Linked DNA regions of Rhinolophus ferrumequinum. Each later gene encodes a partner of the first gene's protein in a complex. Links are inferred from orthologs where the notes say so. Each region holds a gene or a part of one and is shown on either strand. Other genes may lie near its edges.

Region 1 (7,284 bases):
TATCAGTTTTCCCTAAAATAGGGACAACCTCAAATTATTAAAGGAATTAGAGCAGTGAAATGCAAATTAATGCATTTATCTTCCAGAGTCTTTCTCTGTCCAGGACTTCTAAATCAAAGACCATTTTTCAGACAGCCAGACACATTTCTCCTACAATAAATTTTAGGTTTCTAGCAGTGATGATTATGTTCAATGTAATTTTTAAGAATGTGTCTTTCTAAAACCATGTAACTGGCCGCAAGCTAGTTCTGGGTGAAGCTTACTAATTATTAATGAATTTATGAAATTCAAACTACTTAGCAGTAATTAAAGCTCCCCATTAAGTAGAAAAGAAAATTTTTTAAATCCAGCTTTCTCATTCAGTTCTTTCCGCCAAGCTAGAATGAGGATTCAATCTCAAATTGATGTTTCAAACCATAGAATTAAATGTCTGACTTCAAAATAACTCTGTAAGTTGAGTTGAAATAATATAAATACAATAGCTGATAGTAATTTAAGACTGGCTTATGTCAAAGGATTGCATTTCTACCGAGTTAATTCAATGATATGAACTTTGAAATAATTTTTTTTTAATCTTAGGTTTAAAACCATAGGATTCTATAGTACCCAATGCTAGCTGGCTGCAGTTCTCACTAGTTTTTTTAAAAACTGAAATCTTTTGGTCATGTAACGCAATGAGAAGTCAAAAGCTTCAAAGGCAAAAATCTACAAAGGCACTACGTTTCATTTCATAACTTATTTCTCCAATCCAAAAAAAGCCATTACCTAGTATTTATGGGACACTATTACTACTGCAACATAATACATAAAAACCATAACACCAGTGATTCTATAGCATACATCTACATGCCAATAAAAGCTTTTAAGTGTAAAATCTATACAGCAGCCCCCCTTTATCTGTGGGGGATTTGTTCCAAGACCCCCAGTGGATGCGGGAAACCGCAGATAGTACGGAACCATATATATACTATGTTTTTTCCTGTACATTCATACCGATGAAAAAGTTTAACTTGTAAATTAGGCACAGTAAGAGATTAACAACAATAATAAAATAAAACAATCATAACAATATACTGTAATAAGTTCTGTGAATGTGGTTTTTCTCTCTCTCTGATAAGAGATGAGTGGATACACTGGACAAAGGGATGAGTGACATCCCAAGTGGGACAAGGTGAGATATCATTACAGTGGGCAATTTAAAACTTATGAATTCTTTACTTCTGAAATTTACCATTTAGTATTTTTGAATTATGGTTGACCACAGGTAACTGACACGGTACAAAGCGAAACCACCGATAAAAGGAGCGACTACTGTAGTAGACCCTGACAGTGGGCTCTGCGCTCAACTTCTGATTTAAAGAGTTTCAATTTAGCACAACATTGTTTAAAGTCACTTTTAAGATGAGTTTAAATTAACTAAATCAAGAAGTATGTGCTTCTGTATTTCAGTATCCATTTCACAAGGATGACCTCATGAGCTCTCACCTACAGAACTTAGCGTAAGACTAAACTGCAGCTACAAATAACTGGTGCAGGAAATCAGAGAATATTTTACATTCAGATTTTAAATCCAAAATGTGCATCCTGGTTCTTAAATTCCAGGTTTGGAAAGAAATGCTTACAACAAAAATAACTTTCCTTGTAAGCAGCTAAGATTCTTCCAGTGTTGAAACACAAGACTCAGCTGTAGGTACAATCTCATGCTAGTTCAGCACAAATAAACACACTTTGAAGGCTTGAAATGAATTACCTCAGTCACTCCACCAGAATGCAACTACGCATTTGCAAAGCTGTTCTGAAGCTACTCCAAATTAAACCGAACTGAAAAGGAGAGATCTTGTATGAAGTAAGTATGCTGTGTGAAATACTTGTTTCACACTGGCCCCCAAGTTAAAAAAAAAAAAAAAAAAAAAAAAGTTACATCTCATGACTAGTATTTATTTTGCAAGAATATCAAGAGATGTCTACATAGACAAATGGAGAGACAAACATCACAGACTTCAGGCATCCCATTTTCACAACCTTGAGTTATTAATTTCAGTCGTTATGAAAGTTAGATGAGTTAAGATACAGGGAAAATGCTTAGCACAGTTGGCTTGGCTCATAGCACACACGTAATAGTCATTAACAAGTACTAGTTATCTACGAAAAATTGCAAACACCATCTACAATTAACCACAAATTCCTCTTCAGGATCGATTTCACGGACAGCAAATTAATGGGGGTAAAAAAAAAACAAACCACTTTTAAACTACCCATCTTGAAGATACAATAGGTACAATAACAGGCTCTTTTCAAAAATTGAATTGGGCTGTCATGAACACAAATTCACAACCTAATTAAAAAGCTGGAAAACTTAGCATTCTCTTTAGGACCGGAGCCAGCTAAATCAGGGACAGTTAAAGGTCAAAGGCATCCAAGCCGGTAGCGATTTGCTCCCCTTACACGGTCCCTGCCTCCCACAGAAAACAGGGGACTGAACCAAAGGCAGGCGCGGCCAAAGTGCAAGCGACGGCATGCCACGTTAGACATCGCTCTAGGGGATTTCTTCCAGCAATAAAGACGCTTCTACCTTGGGCCAAAGGACTCAAAGGCGACCTGGGATCTCAAGAGTCCTCGCCCCCTGACGGCCTTCCCAACCGCGGGAGCGCGCCCTCGGCCCACGAGACCTCTGCCACGCGTGCCCGCCGCGAAAAGCGAGTCCGCGCGCGCGGTTCCCGCCGGTCCGCCTCTCCGCCTTCGGTTCCCCGCCCCCCAGGCCCTGGGCCCGGAAGGATGCCGCTCAGGCCCCCAACCCCCCACCCCGACCCCCGCGCCCACGGCCCGGGCAGGATACTGAACACAGTCCGCTCCCAGGGCTCCAGCATGTAGAGCGCCGTGACCAGCAGGTACTGGTAGTACAGCCAGGACATTTGTTTCCAGGCCCGCGCCAGCGCCATCGCGGCCGCGTGCCTCCTGCGTTGCAGCCGAATGTCAGTCTGTCCGGCAGGCCTCCCGTTGGTGTCCTAATGCCCCCGCCCGCGAGGCCCGCCTGCCAGCCCGCCAGCCCGCGCCCATTGGCCCGCACCGCCCGGTGCGTCACCGGCGGGCACGCCTAGCCCGGAGATGGCCCGGGCAGCCGGGCCCGAGCCCCGCCCGGCCGGAGTTCATTGGCCAGCCCGCGGCCCCGCGTCGTACCCGCCCCCTCCACACTTCCCCCTCCCCGGGCCGCGCCCACGCGAGCCAGAGAACTGTCCCCGCGAGAGCACCCGCCGCGCGCAGCACGCCCCGCCCTGCCTCCGCCGGCCGTTGGTGAGCCGGGCGGTGGTGCCGCCTGGGGTCCACCCAGTCTGGCCCAGAAACGCTGGTGGGAGAAGGTGTTTGTGGAATACCTGTGATGCCTCGGGCATCCTGCTGGGCAGAGGGAACACAGGAGTGAACAGGAACGTGTGAGGTACCTATCCTCGTGCAGTTTACAATCTACCGGCGAGACAGGTATTAATGACACGAATTCAAGTAAAGCTGTGATGGGCCCAGAGGGGGAGAATAAGGTGCTCAGAGAGGGTGGACAGGAGAATGTCACCTAGTCAAGGAAAGGCGTCTCTGAAGGGATGCACACGCTGCCTCCTTCCTCCCTCACTCCCTCCCTCCCCCACGCGCGGGCACACAAACACCACATACGAGTAGACCAACATACACTCCTTAACCTAAAGACATAACAGAGATGACCATGAATATGTCTCTCTGCCCACCTCTTTTAGTGGCTATAGGCACTACGTAAGGTCAAGGCCAGGAGAAGGGTACTGAGCTGGTGGGTTCTGCAGATGACAGGATGCTTGAGACCTGTCTGTGGGCTGATAATTCCTGGACATGCATTCTGGAATGTCCAGATTTTCCCACTGGCAAGTGGGCCAGCAACATTGCACTCACCTTCAGGAATGAGATGCATGATTAGCATGTGAAATGACACGACTAAATGGCCTGCTGTTTAAATGTTGAAAGGTTTCTAGGTTAAACAGCTTACTGTTTAAACTTTAAAACTTGCATGGTGGGGCGGCTGGTTGGTTAAGTGGTTAGAGCGCAGTGCTCATAACCTCAGGGTGGTGGGTTGGATTCCCACATGAGCCAATGAGCTGTGCCTTCCACAACTAGATTGCAAACAACAACTTGACATGGAGCTGCTGAGTCCTGGAAAAACACACTGTTCCCCAATACTCCCCAAAAAAAACTGTGGAAAAAAAAAACTGTCATGGTTGATGTTTTATTTATTCATTTAGAAATATCAAGTGCTGTTCATGAGTTAAACATTGGATATAGAAAGCCAGACTAAGATCTGTCTTTATAAGTACCCAGTCTACTAGGGAAGAGAGGCAAGTTAACAGATTTCAATGAGATGTGGTAAAAAGTATTTTTACGTTATATGTAGGATGCCACAATAGCCCAGAGAAAATCAGATTGGGGTTGTAAAAGGCTTCTGGAAAGTGATCTTAAATTGAATATTGAAGGAAAAGTAGAAATGGCAGAATGAATAGGTGGGGGTAGGAGGGACGCAGATATTCCAAGCACAGGAGCATGAAGGCCTGATGCATTTAAAGGGCTGGAAGAACTTCCTCACGGCTGAAGCAAAAAGAAGGTAAAGAAAGTGTAGACAGGGGTGGCCAGTTAGCTCAGTTGGTTAGAGCATGGTGCTGGGACACCAGGGAGCACCAAGGTTGCCAGTTTGATCCCCGCATGGGCCACTGTGAGCTGTGCTCTCCTTGAAAAAAAAAAAAGAATGTGTAGGCAGTAGCAAGAGGTGGGGCTAGATAGTAAAGAGGGACCGCTTCTTAAAGAACCTTGTGTGAGGAGCTAAGGAATTTTTAACTTGAAATCCAGAAGTTAAAAGAGCCCATGGCTTAATAAGATTTGCATTTTGGACAAGACTTGGGGATAGGCAGTAGCCTGGAGGCCACTGAGGAAAACAGGATCCGGTAGAAGACATGACACAGGTAGAACCTGTCAGTGGGACATGTGTAACCCACACTTACTCAAGATCTCCTCACCCTTGAGAGATCCAGGTACACTTGGCCCTCCCACTTCTGCATCTTACTGTGTGAGGCTTCTCCATGTCGCTGTTCCTCACTGAGCTATCTCTGTTCAGATCTGTTCAGGAACAGGCAAGCTCTGCTCCTTTATATTCAAGAACTTCAAGTACCTGAGCACCTGGTGATACTTAGTTAAGTTAACCCAAGATTGGAAGCATCACGCACAGCTACCCTGCTGTCCCCGGGCAGCTCACTAGGCCATCCCACGGTACACGGCCCCCACTGTCCACTGCATCTCTTTGGGAGAGCAGCCGTACCAATTTGCATCCCTCAGCTGCTCTGGGATTCTAGTGAACAAAAATCCATCTTGCTAGACTTGGCAACTGACTGAAAAATGGTGGGGGAAAGAGGCTGGGATCTTGGATCGTGACAATATTCACGAAGAATCCAGGGGAAGAAGTCTGGCTGAAAAGATACAAATTCAGTTAGGAAAAGGCTGAGTTTGAGGTACCTGAAGGACATTTAAGTGGCGGTGTCCAGGGGACAGTTGGTCATAGGGGTCTAGAATTTAGAAGAGAAAGCTGAACAGAAGCCAAAGGCATGAGTTTTCAATAAGCCCCTGGTAATTAAAGCCCTGATTGCAGATGAGGTCACCTCAGGAAAGCACAGAATGGGCAGAGTACAGAACAAACCCAGAGACTGGCTTTTAAGGGATGAGAATCTAAAGGGAGCCAATAAAGTGCACTCAGAAGGAACTGAGATTTGATAGCAAAGAGGAGAGATGTATGGGAGAAGCCAAGGGAGGAAGGAATGGCCAGCAGATCAAACGGTTCAGGGAGGACAAGCAAGGGGAAGGGAAGTGCCAGTTTGTCTCGTCCACCTGAGGCTCAAGTGATGACGCACTCACTGCGGCGTGATAAGGGCAGAAACCCGATTCAAGAGCAAGTGGGAAGTGAGAAGAGACTTATCTTTGCCGGAAGCTTGCCTTTGAAGGGAAAGAGAGAGAGGATGGTAGCAAAGGTTTTTATTTGGTTTGGTTTTCGGATGGGAAAGATGTGATCAAGTTTATGGGCTTAGAGTAAAGATACGGGTGAAAATGGTGGCATCAGACCTAAAGCCTTAATAAACAGGAGCCAGTAGCTCTTTTCCTAAGAAGGGGAGGATGGAAAAGGTGGGAATCAGATGGACAAAAACACGGAAGAGTAAGTTAAGGAACTCCCTGCTTCACAGCCTCAGTTTCCTTAGTGAAAAAGAAAGGCCTCTCTAAAGTTAGGCCTTCTGTTGAGAATGAGCAAGATGTTGAGGTAGAGGGTTTGGAAAGAAAAAAGGGTAGTGAGAGAAGCTCCCTGAAGCTGCTTTAGGTGTTGTCAGGCAGAAAAATTATACAATTTTCACCAGCAATCCACAAGGACCCATAGGTAGAACTGGAGAGGATGAATTAAGGGGCTTGCTCCAAAGTGGAGTCTTGCTGGCTGAGTACAAGGGAGACACAAAGAAGCAAGGAGGTTGATAGGGAGAGAAAAACTGAAATAAGGGCTGCGAGAACTGGGTCAGAGAAGGAAGTAAATGCTAGAAGAGAGAAAATGGAGCAGTCAAGAGCTGTGTGAGGTTGGAAACTAGGAGTAGATAAGTGGGAGAGCTTCCATCCTGGAGGATGTAACCACGGATGTGCGTCTGAAGTTCAAGATTACAGAGATGCGCCGGACCTCCGCAATGACATGCATAGGCTGTGACCATGGGACGGGCAGCCAAAGTAGAGTGGAAGGAAAGTAAAAGACAGGCTGACCACTTGAAAGCTGAACTTGTCCAGGAGGATGGCAAGACTAGGAGCTGAGAGGAAAAGTCTGCAGATCAAATGTCAGCGTCTTCAGGGAACGTGGGGAAAAGCTCAGGAGAGAAGAGGAACAGAGAGGGGTAAAGCCCAGAGGTGTGTGGTTTTGGTTAGGAGGCCATAACGGGGAGCAAGAAGAAGGCCAACCCCACTCACCCCCAGTCCCTTGGTTGGGGGGTGGGGGGGTAGGTTATTTCTCAGGGGAGGGGAATGAGGTGACGTGTTCACAAAAAGATTGGCAGTAGAGGAAAAAAAGAATCTGGCACAAGATAGGGTTGGCAGGGAGGGCTCAGTGCAAGGATGTGTCTGGAAGAAGGAAATCCCAGAGCAGAGTGAGAAGGTGGGATGTTGGTACCTGAGGCAGGTACTGTGGATGGCAACGCGGGCCAGGCGGACCTCCAGGTCTCGCTCAGACGGGCATCAGGGCGGACACCAGCAGGCCCCAAGTGG
Region 2 (8,073 bases), on another chromosome or scaffold:
CATTCCAAATTAATTTTATGGGGATTAAGTTAATGAATTGGAAATGATAAGAATATCAAGTTTGGATTAAGATGCTAAGGGCTCTTCTGTCATGTGGATATGCTCATGAGGAGAAGAACAAATCCTCTAGAACAATAGTGTTCTGTTACTGACTGAGGTTCCATCTGTCAGGAACAAGAGGCAGGATGACATATTAGAAGTGAACAAAGAAATGGACTTAGTCAGTGGTGAAAACCAATTATCAGTGCATCCTCAGGTCGTATGAGGTTCAAAGAGAAAAACAACAACAACAAAACAAAACAAAACAAAAACCCAGGCGCTACAGTCAAGTTCCAAAAAAGTTCCATAAAGGAACACTAGAAGGTTTCCAAAATAGAAAGAATCTGGATCTCTTGCCAGTCCTGAGGTTGGGGAAGTAAGCCTGGACTCCAGGGCTAGAGTGTTGAAACCAGGCTACATTGGAACAAAGGAAAGGAGGGCTCTTGACAGATTGCCTAACAGTGATTTTCAGTTTTATTTATTTATTTACTTATTTTCTTATGTCAGAGAACTCCATGTTAACAGAATCTTACAGGAACCCCAAATATATATGAAAAACAAATGTGTTGCTGAGTGGTTGCAAATAAGCTGGAAGATAAAGGGTCACGGGATCTTCAGAGGTGCTAGTAGGACTCTAGATGCTGCTTCATAGGACCCTAGGCCCGGCAGAACGTGTTTGGAAGACAGCTGGCCCAGCACATCTGTCAGCCTTTATGGAGAGCTTGTCAACTATCAAGGTTTTTGGTCAAGACCCAGTTTGTTAAAGGACCCCAAGGCAAAATGGATTAAAACTAGTAACTGAGGATCGTGATAGTGAAGACAACTTCACCCACATCATGGAGGGGAAGTCAGGTCCTTGTCTGCTCTGCTACACCAAGATCTCAGCAGGGTTTATTCTTTCTGGAAAATATTTTTAAAGCAATAATCAAGTCTCTCAGTAGTTGCCAATTCCAACTTAGTAACACCTAAATATATCTGAGCCCAACACGTGCTGGATGGTCCTTCAGAAAGAGCTGTCGGAAAAGGTAACAGCAGCTTTGATAATACCTGCTGCTCTCAGGGAAGCCTCAGTGTCCCAGGCTACTTACAGTCTTGTAGGAGCACTTAGTAATGACCCTTTAAGATCCTGGCTTTTGTCCTTATTTAGGAATAGCTGTAAACATCTAGGTAAGTTTCTAACCTCAGACACTAGAAGGTGGCTATAAAACCAAGGTAAAGAGAGAAGAATAGCTTTAAGAGTGTCTCTGCCCAAGTGAGAGCCCTCAGGGTCAGAATGGTCCAGAGGGCAAGTAGGTGAGTGGCTAGTGTCCTAGGCATTTCAGGGATAAAGAGCATCTTGAGTGATTGTAGTCTGAATTGACACAGTGACAAATAGATGGTGCGTATTATTATGATTGCCCTCATGCTAATAGGAGGAGTTGAGTGTTTTCTCTTTACATTGCACTAGGTTTCAGATATTCAGCTGGGAGAGGTCAAGCCTCAGATTTCAGGTAGACACTTCTAAGACTGAGGTAATGCCTTCTGTTAAGAGGGGACCACAGCCTATTCACACACAACCCAGGGTCCAGACTCTTCCCCACCCTGCCCCTCACTTCTTCCAACTGTACTCACAAATTTAATGCACTGAGTGGTGGACTGGCCGCTAGCCAGCCCAACCTGTTCTGTGATCTTAGAACAAGCTGTTCCCTGGGCGGATGCTGGTCTTCCAGGGACGGATGAGTGATGGAGGACTACATAGATACTCTTCCCAACTTTTTTCATTTCCCAACAGTGGAACCACCTGTTTTGCTATGCTGACGTGCTTCTGAAGCAGGTGAGCTCATCCTGACTACTCATTGCCGACAGGTAGGGTATCTCATGGGAAATGGGGAGCTGCCTTTTTACAAGTACCTCACAGAGCCCACCGCCCTCTTTGGATAAGCTGACAACATTTCTTGAGTTCCTCTCCTCCTCAGTACATTCCCTTCAAACATTCTGTTACAGCAGGAGCCAAAAAAAAAAAAAAAGTATCAAATGGGAAAACAATTCAAAGTCTGTTTGGTTCCTGTGTGCAGGGTTTTAACAATAAGCCACACTTTCTGAAGTGTCTTCAAAAGGAATGTTGTGATGTCAAGTTTCAAAGAAAGACTTGGGACCAAAATCAAGCTGCAAGCTATGACAATGCTCCACTAAACACCAAAAAGAATTCACCTTTCACCCAGAGAGGCATTTCTCACGCACTGGAGAAAAATGCTATCCGTACCACAAAATCTCAGCAATTTTAGATTTACTTTCACTTTCTCTCTTTTTTTTTTTTTATGAAACGTGATGAATGTAGCCTATTATGATTTTTTGATGGACTAAAATTTAGCTGAAAAGTTTGAGCCTTCACAAGTCTGCCCCCGAATACTTGAGAGTAAACAAAGTCTCGTAGCTATGTTTGTGTTTTCAGGGTTTACACAAACCCAATGTGTGTCCTCCCTTGTACAGAGAAGAAATTGTCTCCTTAACCCACAGCTAAACTCTTTGGTAGCCAAGCATTTGAAATTAGCTGAAGGGAAGAGTCAAAACACATAACACGTCATAAAAAAGGATTTTCAGTGAAGACAGCTTCAAAGAGCTTTACAAAGAAATATTGAAATGTTCTGGTCATTCAGAGTCAGGGAGGGATTGCCTCTTACCTGGGCTTCTTTCACTATCCCATTCCTTGTGCAGTTTCCACTTTGCAAGCCGACACGCTGTTTTTTGTGATTGTGAAGATCCCCATTGCAAACAGTACCACCTCCAGAATTAACCATTGTGTGAAATGATGGAACCCAGCAGGTTTTCCTCCAGCGGTTCTTGGCAAGCGTCAGTTTTGAAGTTGGTGAGGGGATGGGAGAAAGCACTTTGGGCTGAGACCGTGGAGGAATCCTACCAATCAGGCTTTTCCAGAAGAAGAGCAATAGTCTATCTTTTGAGCAGATCTTTGAAACTAAAAACAAACAGTTACCTTTCTACTCCTCAACTCAGAAAGTGGCTTCCACGGCAACAAACTAGTTCCTGAAACTATAAAGGAGATTGCCCATGCTGGCTCCTCTTGTGGACTGAGGAAATCAGGAGACTGCAAAACCCAGTGGCAAACTCTGAGGGGGCGGGCTGGGAGGAGGAAAATCTTTTAAAGACACACACACACACACACACACACCACTCACATGGAACCTTCTGCTGAGGTACAGTTGCAAATTTACATATCTCCCACCCCGTCCCTCCTGCAGCTAATTACATTTTTTAGGTGTAAATGAAACTCCAAGTCAACATTTCCCTTTGCTGTAAAATAACATTCAGGAGTGGTTGCCAGGAACTAGAGGAAAGATAGAATGGGAAGTTACCATTTAATGAGTTTCTGTTGGAGAAGACGGAAAAAGTTTTGGCACTTAGATGGTGGCGATGGTTGCACAACACTGCGAATGTACTCAATGCCATTGAGCTGTACACTTAAAAATGGTTAAAATAGAAATTTTATGTGAGGTGGATTTTACCATAATACAAAAATGGCAAAAAAAGTATTTAGAACCCACCTAATGTTTGACCTAATGTTAAAGCCAGTGATATAATGAGAGGTACCAACTCATGAAGAATTGCTGTAAGGCAGAAGTCTGGGGGACAGAATATTTGATTTCTCATCATGGCTGCATTACCTGTCGCATGATCTTTGAGAAGCTATTTTCTCTTTTTTACGCCTCAGTTTCTCTGCCTGTAAAATGAAATAAGACACATTTTTTGAGCTAATGTATGATGGGGTGGTAGGAAAATAAAACCATGGCTTGGCTTTGTTACTGACACAGGTACTGTGAATCAGACGGTGACTGCAGTGTCTCAGTCTCGAGCAGCTCTGGTTTACTTATTAACTCTGATTCTCTCAGTGCACCAGTCACCAAAGGCTTATCTTCTCCTGTCACCATCAAATGGCATTGAGCTGATACGTATTATTGGATAATCACTTACAGCCTGTTGAGTTCTCCCAAGCCCACCCTCATGGTTCTCCTGAACTAAGACTTCTTTAACATCAGGCACTTAGAAAAGAAAACCATTTAATGGGTCAATGGAAAAAAACAAACAAAGCAAAAACAAAAACAAAAAGACAGGAATGGCTCCTGTTTTCAAAGCCTCATTTCCTGGTTCTTGGGTTTGTACAGGGTTTGTGTCCCCTCCAGCAAGAGGTGGCTTACAGAGGAAGTGATCGTAATGCTTCTCCTAACCTTGATTTACATGTGAGGGTTCCCATTTTTCCCATCCCGGGGAGAACTGAAGGAATAAGGTCTTGGGTTAAATAACAGGATGGAGTTAATGCCAAGTATGCCCACCCTTTTGTGTCTCAATCTCAGAATTTTATTGCATCTCTTCCAACCATTGTCATCAGAGCAGAACTAGATTTTTTTCACTGGTCTCTCTCTTCTGTGACTTCTAACTGGGATGGGAGCTAAACCAGTGTTGTTGGCTTATTTCCTTCTAGACTTATACAAAAGAGAGATGGAAAGGTAGGTGGGAACCCTGGTAACTGTTGGTTGGCCTGACTACCTCAGCTTACTTGGAAAGACAAGTTGAAGACATTGTTATGTTGACTGACCTCTAATGACCTGTAGAAAGTTATTTTTCAAATGAGAATTTTGAGATAAAACTAAATTCTGAACATTAGATATTTTTATCTCTCCTTCTTTTATTCTCTTCTTCCTTCTTCCAGTTCTTCTGTTGAATTCCCCCTTTCCCTATTCTCCAATCTTCCCCCCTCCTCGTTTTCTTCCTGTTTTTCTTTATTTTCTTTTTACAAGGGGACACAACCATATATAGAAAAAAATCTCAAAAAGCAGTTGAAATTTCCTTCACTTTTTTTTTTCCTAATCCCAATAGCCAAGGTGAAACGACTACACATAGACCTTCAGGAAATATCTACCACATGTTCTCACTCTTGAAACTTTTCTCCTTTACTTGCCATATTGGAATATGTAAACTGCTGTGTGCACAAAATCTTCTTAACACAACAACCATTCAGCATTAGATACTATGGATATGCATAATCAATGGTGGCTCCTTGTTTTATATCATCTCCAGTGAAAATAAGTGTGGAGGTCAATTTGAGTGAGTGGTAGCTCTGAGTGTAAGGATATTGATCTCTTATAGTCTGACAGTTTGTGTCACCCAAAATTCATATGTTGAAACCCTAACTCTTAAGGTGATGGTATTAGGAGGTGGGGCTGTTGGGATGTAATTAGGTCAGGAAGGTAGAGCCCTCATGAAGGGATTAGTGCTTTATAATAGAGGCCCAGGAGGCTCCCTTGTCCCTTCAGCCAAGTGAGGTTATAGCAAAAAGACACCAGTCTAGGAAGTGGGTCTTCACCAAACACTAAATCTTTCCATTCCTTGCTCTTGGACTTCTCAGCCTTCAGAACTATGAGGAACACATTTCTGTTGTTTATGAGCTATTCAGTTTATGGTATTTTGTTATAGTAACCCAAAATGTCTACGACATCGATCAACATTAAAACAGACTGCAATTGAGTATGATTTGTTGTCTAGGAATAACTAAATGTATTTCAGATCAACCAGTAAATCCAACAAATATTTGAATAACTATTATGTCCTAGGTTATTTGCTAAGTCCTTCAATACAACAGTGAACAAGACTCAGGCAGTCTTCACCTTCACAGAAAACTGAGCGTTAATAGCACCTGCATATCTTCTACTCAAGATCTCTCATTATTGAAGGTAAACATAAACCTGTTTATTATTGTATTAAGGACAAAGACCAAATTAGTTAACAATGGCCTTGTGGTAGTCCCTGAAGGGACACTTTTGCCAGATGTCAGCTTCTAGGGATAAATAAGAAAGGGAAGTTCAGAGCTTGGTAACATATTGTGAAAAAGCTCCGGGAACCATTTGGAAACAGAAAATTGACAAAAAAGGGAGGAAATGAGCAAAATACATTGTCAGAATTGTACAGTGTCTATAAATCTATTCAGTGAATCAATCTTTACTTACGTAATGGAGAGTAATGATGATGCAAAAACTAAAGTTCCAACAAGTTAAGTGACTTTTCCAAAGCCACAAGAATATATGCCAGGAGTTGGTCATAAACTCTAGAATTTGAGTCCAGAGCAAGTCCTCTTTCCCTAATACCATGATATCTCTCCTTCCGCTGTTGTCTTGAGAATATCAATCAAGAAGAAAAATAACAGAAACTGTTATGATTTGGGAAATTTCTTTGAATTAGCCAAATAATAAGTAAAAATATTTTATTTTGTATTTCTGATCCATTAAAATCCTGTCATCTATTAAATACAAGCAAAGATCTAATAACATCTTAAAATCTACTTGGATTTTATAGTCTGGGATACTTCTACAGGGAAATAGTTAAATTTTCTAAAAAATTCAGTCTGGAAAATTCTCAGTGTAAAAATAATTCAGTTCAAAAGACTTTCTTATCAACAGGAGGCCAGATACTTATATTTTTGATGTCAGATAGGTTTTTTCTTTCTTTCTAAACATGGGTTAAAAGTACAGCAATGCTATTTTAAGTTAGAAAAAAACCCCAACAAAACACATTATTGATGACTACTACCTCAAGGCCAGCAACAGTGGAATATTTCTGCTTTTCTTCATGATATAATCTTCCAGGGAGTAGTGTCTCTGCAAGTCTTTGTAGTAGCAATTACCTTCAGAATGCCCTTGAGCAAAACACAGAGTTTCACCCTCCCTGCGGACATCATAACTCTTTGCCTACAAAACTGAACATCTATTAAAAAAAAAAAAGTTCAGGATTCAGATTTTCAAAATACAGAGCCAGGGACTTCTAAGAAGTATTCAAGAGCCACTATTATTACCTTGCTGTTTCAGATGCTTGGGGTTGAACTTCTTGAAGCCCCTATATTTCGTAGTCAAGGTACCTGATTTTGTTAATCCAAAAATATTTTTATTTCTGTCAAACTGACTTTCTTTTTTTTTTTTTGGAGGGGGGAGGGTATTTGTACAAAGCAATGATAATTTACTTAGGTGGGTTTTAAATTAATATTTGGCACATTAAATTACAAAATTGACACCCTAGTTAAGTTCCATCTGTAAATCTTGTTGTAACTTCTGTATGAAAGAAGAACAATTACTTTTGTGATTGTTAATTGATTGATATTTGATTAACATAAGATGAATAGGCTAAATTTTCCTTATAGAAAACATCGCCATTTATGGACTTGGTTAATGTTTTGTCTTAAAACATTTAAAACTTAGCTAATTAAACATCTTTAAAATTTAAAACATAAAAACACTTGGATATATTTTCTTTCCTTTTAAGTACTTGAAATGGACACTAAGGAAATTTGTAGCCTTAATAAGCAAAATTTTGCCAAGCACAAAATCAACCCATATAATATATGGTAAATCAAATTCTTCTTAATATCTCAATACTGTCTATAAACTAGTTAATACTCTTACATATTTTAACTTAAATTACAAGACTGCTATGTGAAAGTATCATTAATATTATATAGATTTTACAGTTCATTTGCACACATAGATTATTCCTAAACTTAATAAGCAAATATTACTACTATGGGATTGATTTTCTTTATCATCTCCCTATTAACTTCAGTATTGCCAGGATTGAAAATACAATCACCCAACTCTAAGGAACAGGTATATTCTTTAGGTGAGGCTGAGGTACTGATACATTGGTGTAGCCTGTCTCTTACTTTGCTAGGCAGTTCTTTTGGACTGCTAAGTGTGACTGGGTCATTTTATAACCCTGCTGGGCATGATATGAATTAAAACCCTACTTAGTTCCAGACACATATAGAGTAAATCCATCCTGGAATGACTTGACCCTGGAGGTAAATCATGAGATGATTCTGGTGCCTTGGGATGGAGAAATTTTCTTTTTTTTTTTAATTAAAATTTATCGGAGTGACAATTGTTAGTAAAGTTACATAGATTTGAGGTGTACAATTCTGTATTACATCATCTAAAAATCACATTTTGTGTTCACCACCCAGAGTCAGTTCTCCTTCCATCACCATATATTTGATCC

The links.
Region 2: SPTSSA (region 1) and SPTLC3 share a complex: the UniProt entries of both Homo sapiens proteins name them as parts of the serine palmitoyltransferase (SPT) complex. The link is inferred for Rhinolophus ferrumequinum from reciprocal best matches to the Homo sapiens genes SPTSSA and SPTLC3.

Annotation. Positions count from the first base shown.
Region 1 is NC_046289.1:82,805,432-82,812,715, forward strand, and holds the start of SPTSSA (serine palmitoyltransferase small subunit A), read right to left. Parts: upstream 3,019-7,284; 5' UTR 2,940-3,018; coding exon 2,837-2,939; intron 1-2,836. UniProt on the Homo sapiens protein: Component of the serine palmitoyltransferase multisubunit enzyme (SPT) that catalyzes the initial and rate-limiting step in sphingolipid biosynthesis by condensing L-serine and activated acyl-CoA (most commonly palmitoyl-CoA) to form long-chain bases.
Region 2 is NC_046306.1:33,439,303-33,447,375, reverse strand, and holds the start of SPTLC3 (serine palmitoyltransferase 3), read right to left. Parts: upstream 3,055-8,073; 5' UTR 2,817-3,054; coding exon 2,700-2,816; intron 1-2,699. UniProt on the Homo sapiens protein: Component of the serine palmitoyltransferase multisubunit enzyme (SPT) that catalyzes the initial and rate-limiting step in sphingolipid biosynthesis by condensing L-serine and activated acyl-CoA (most commonly palmitoyl-CoA) to form long-chain bases.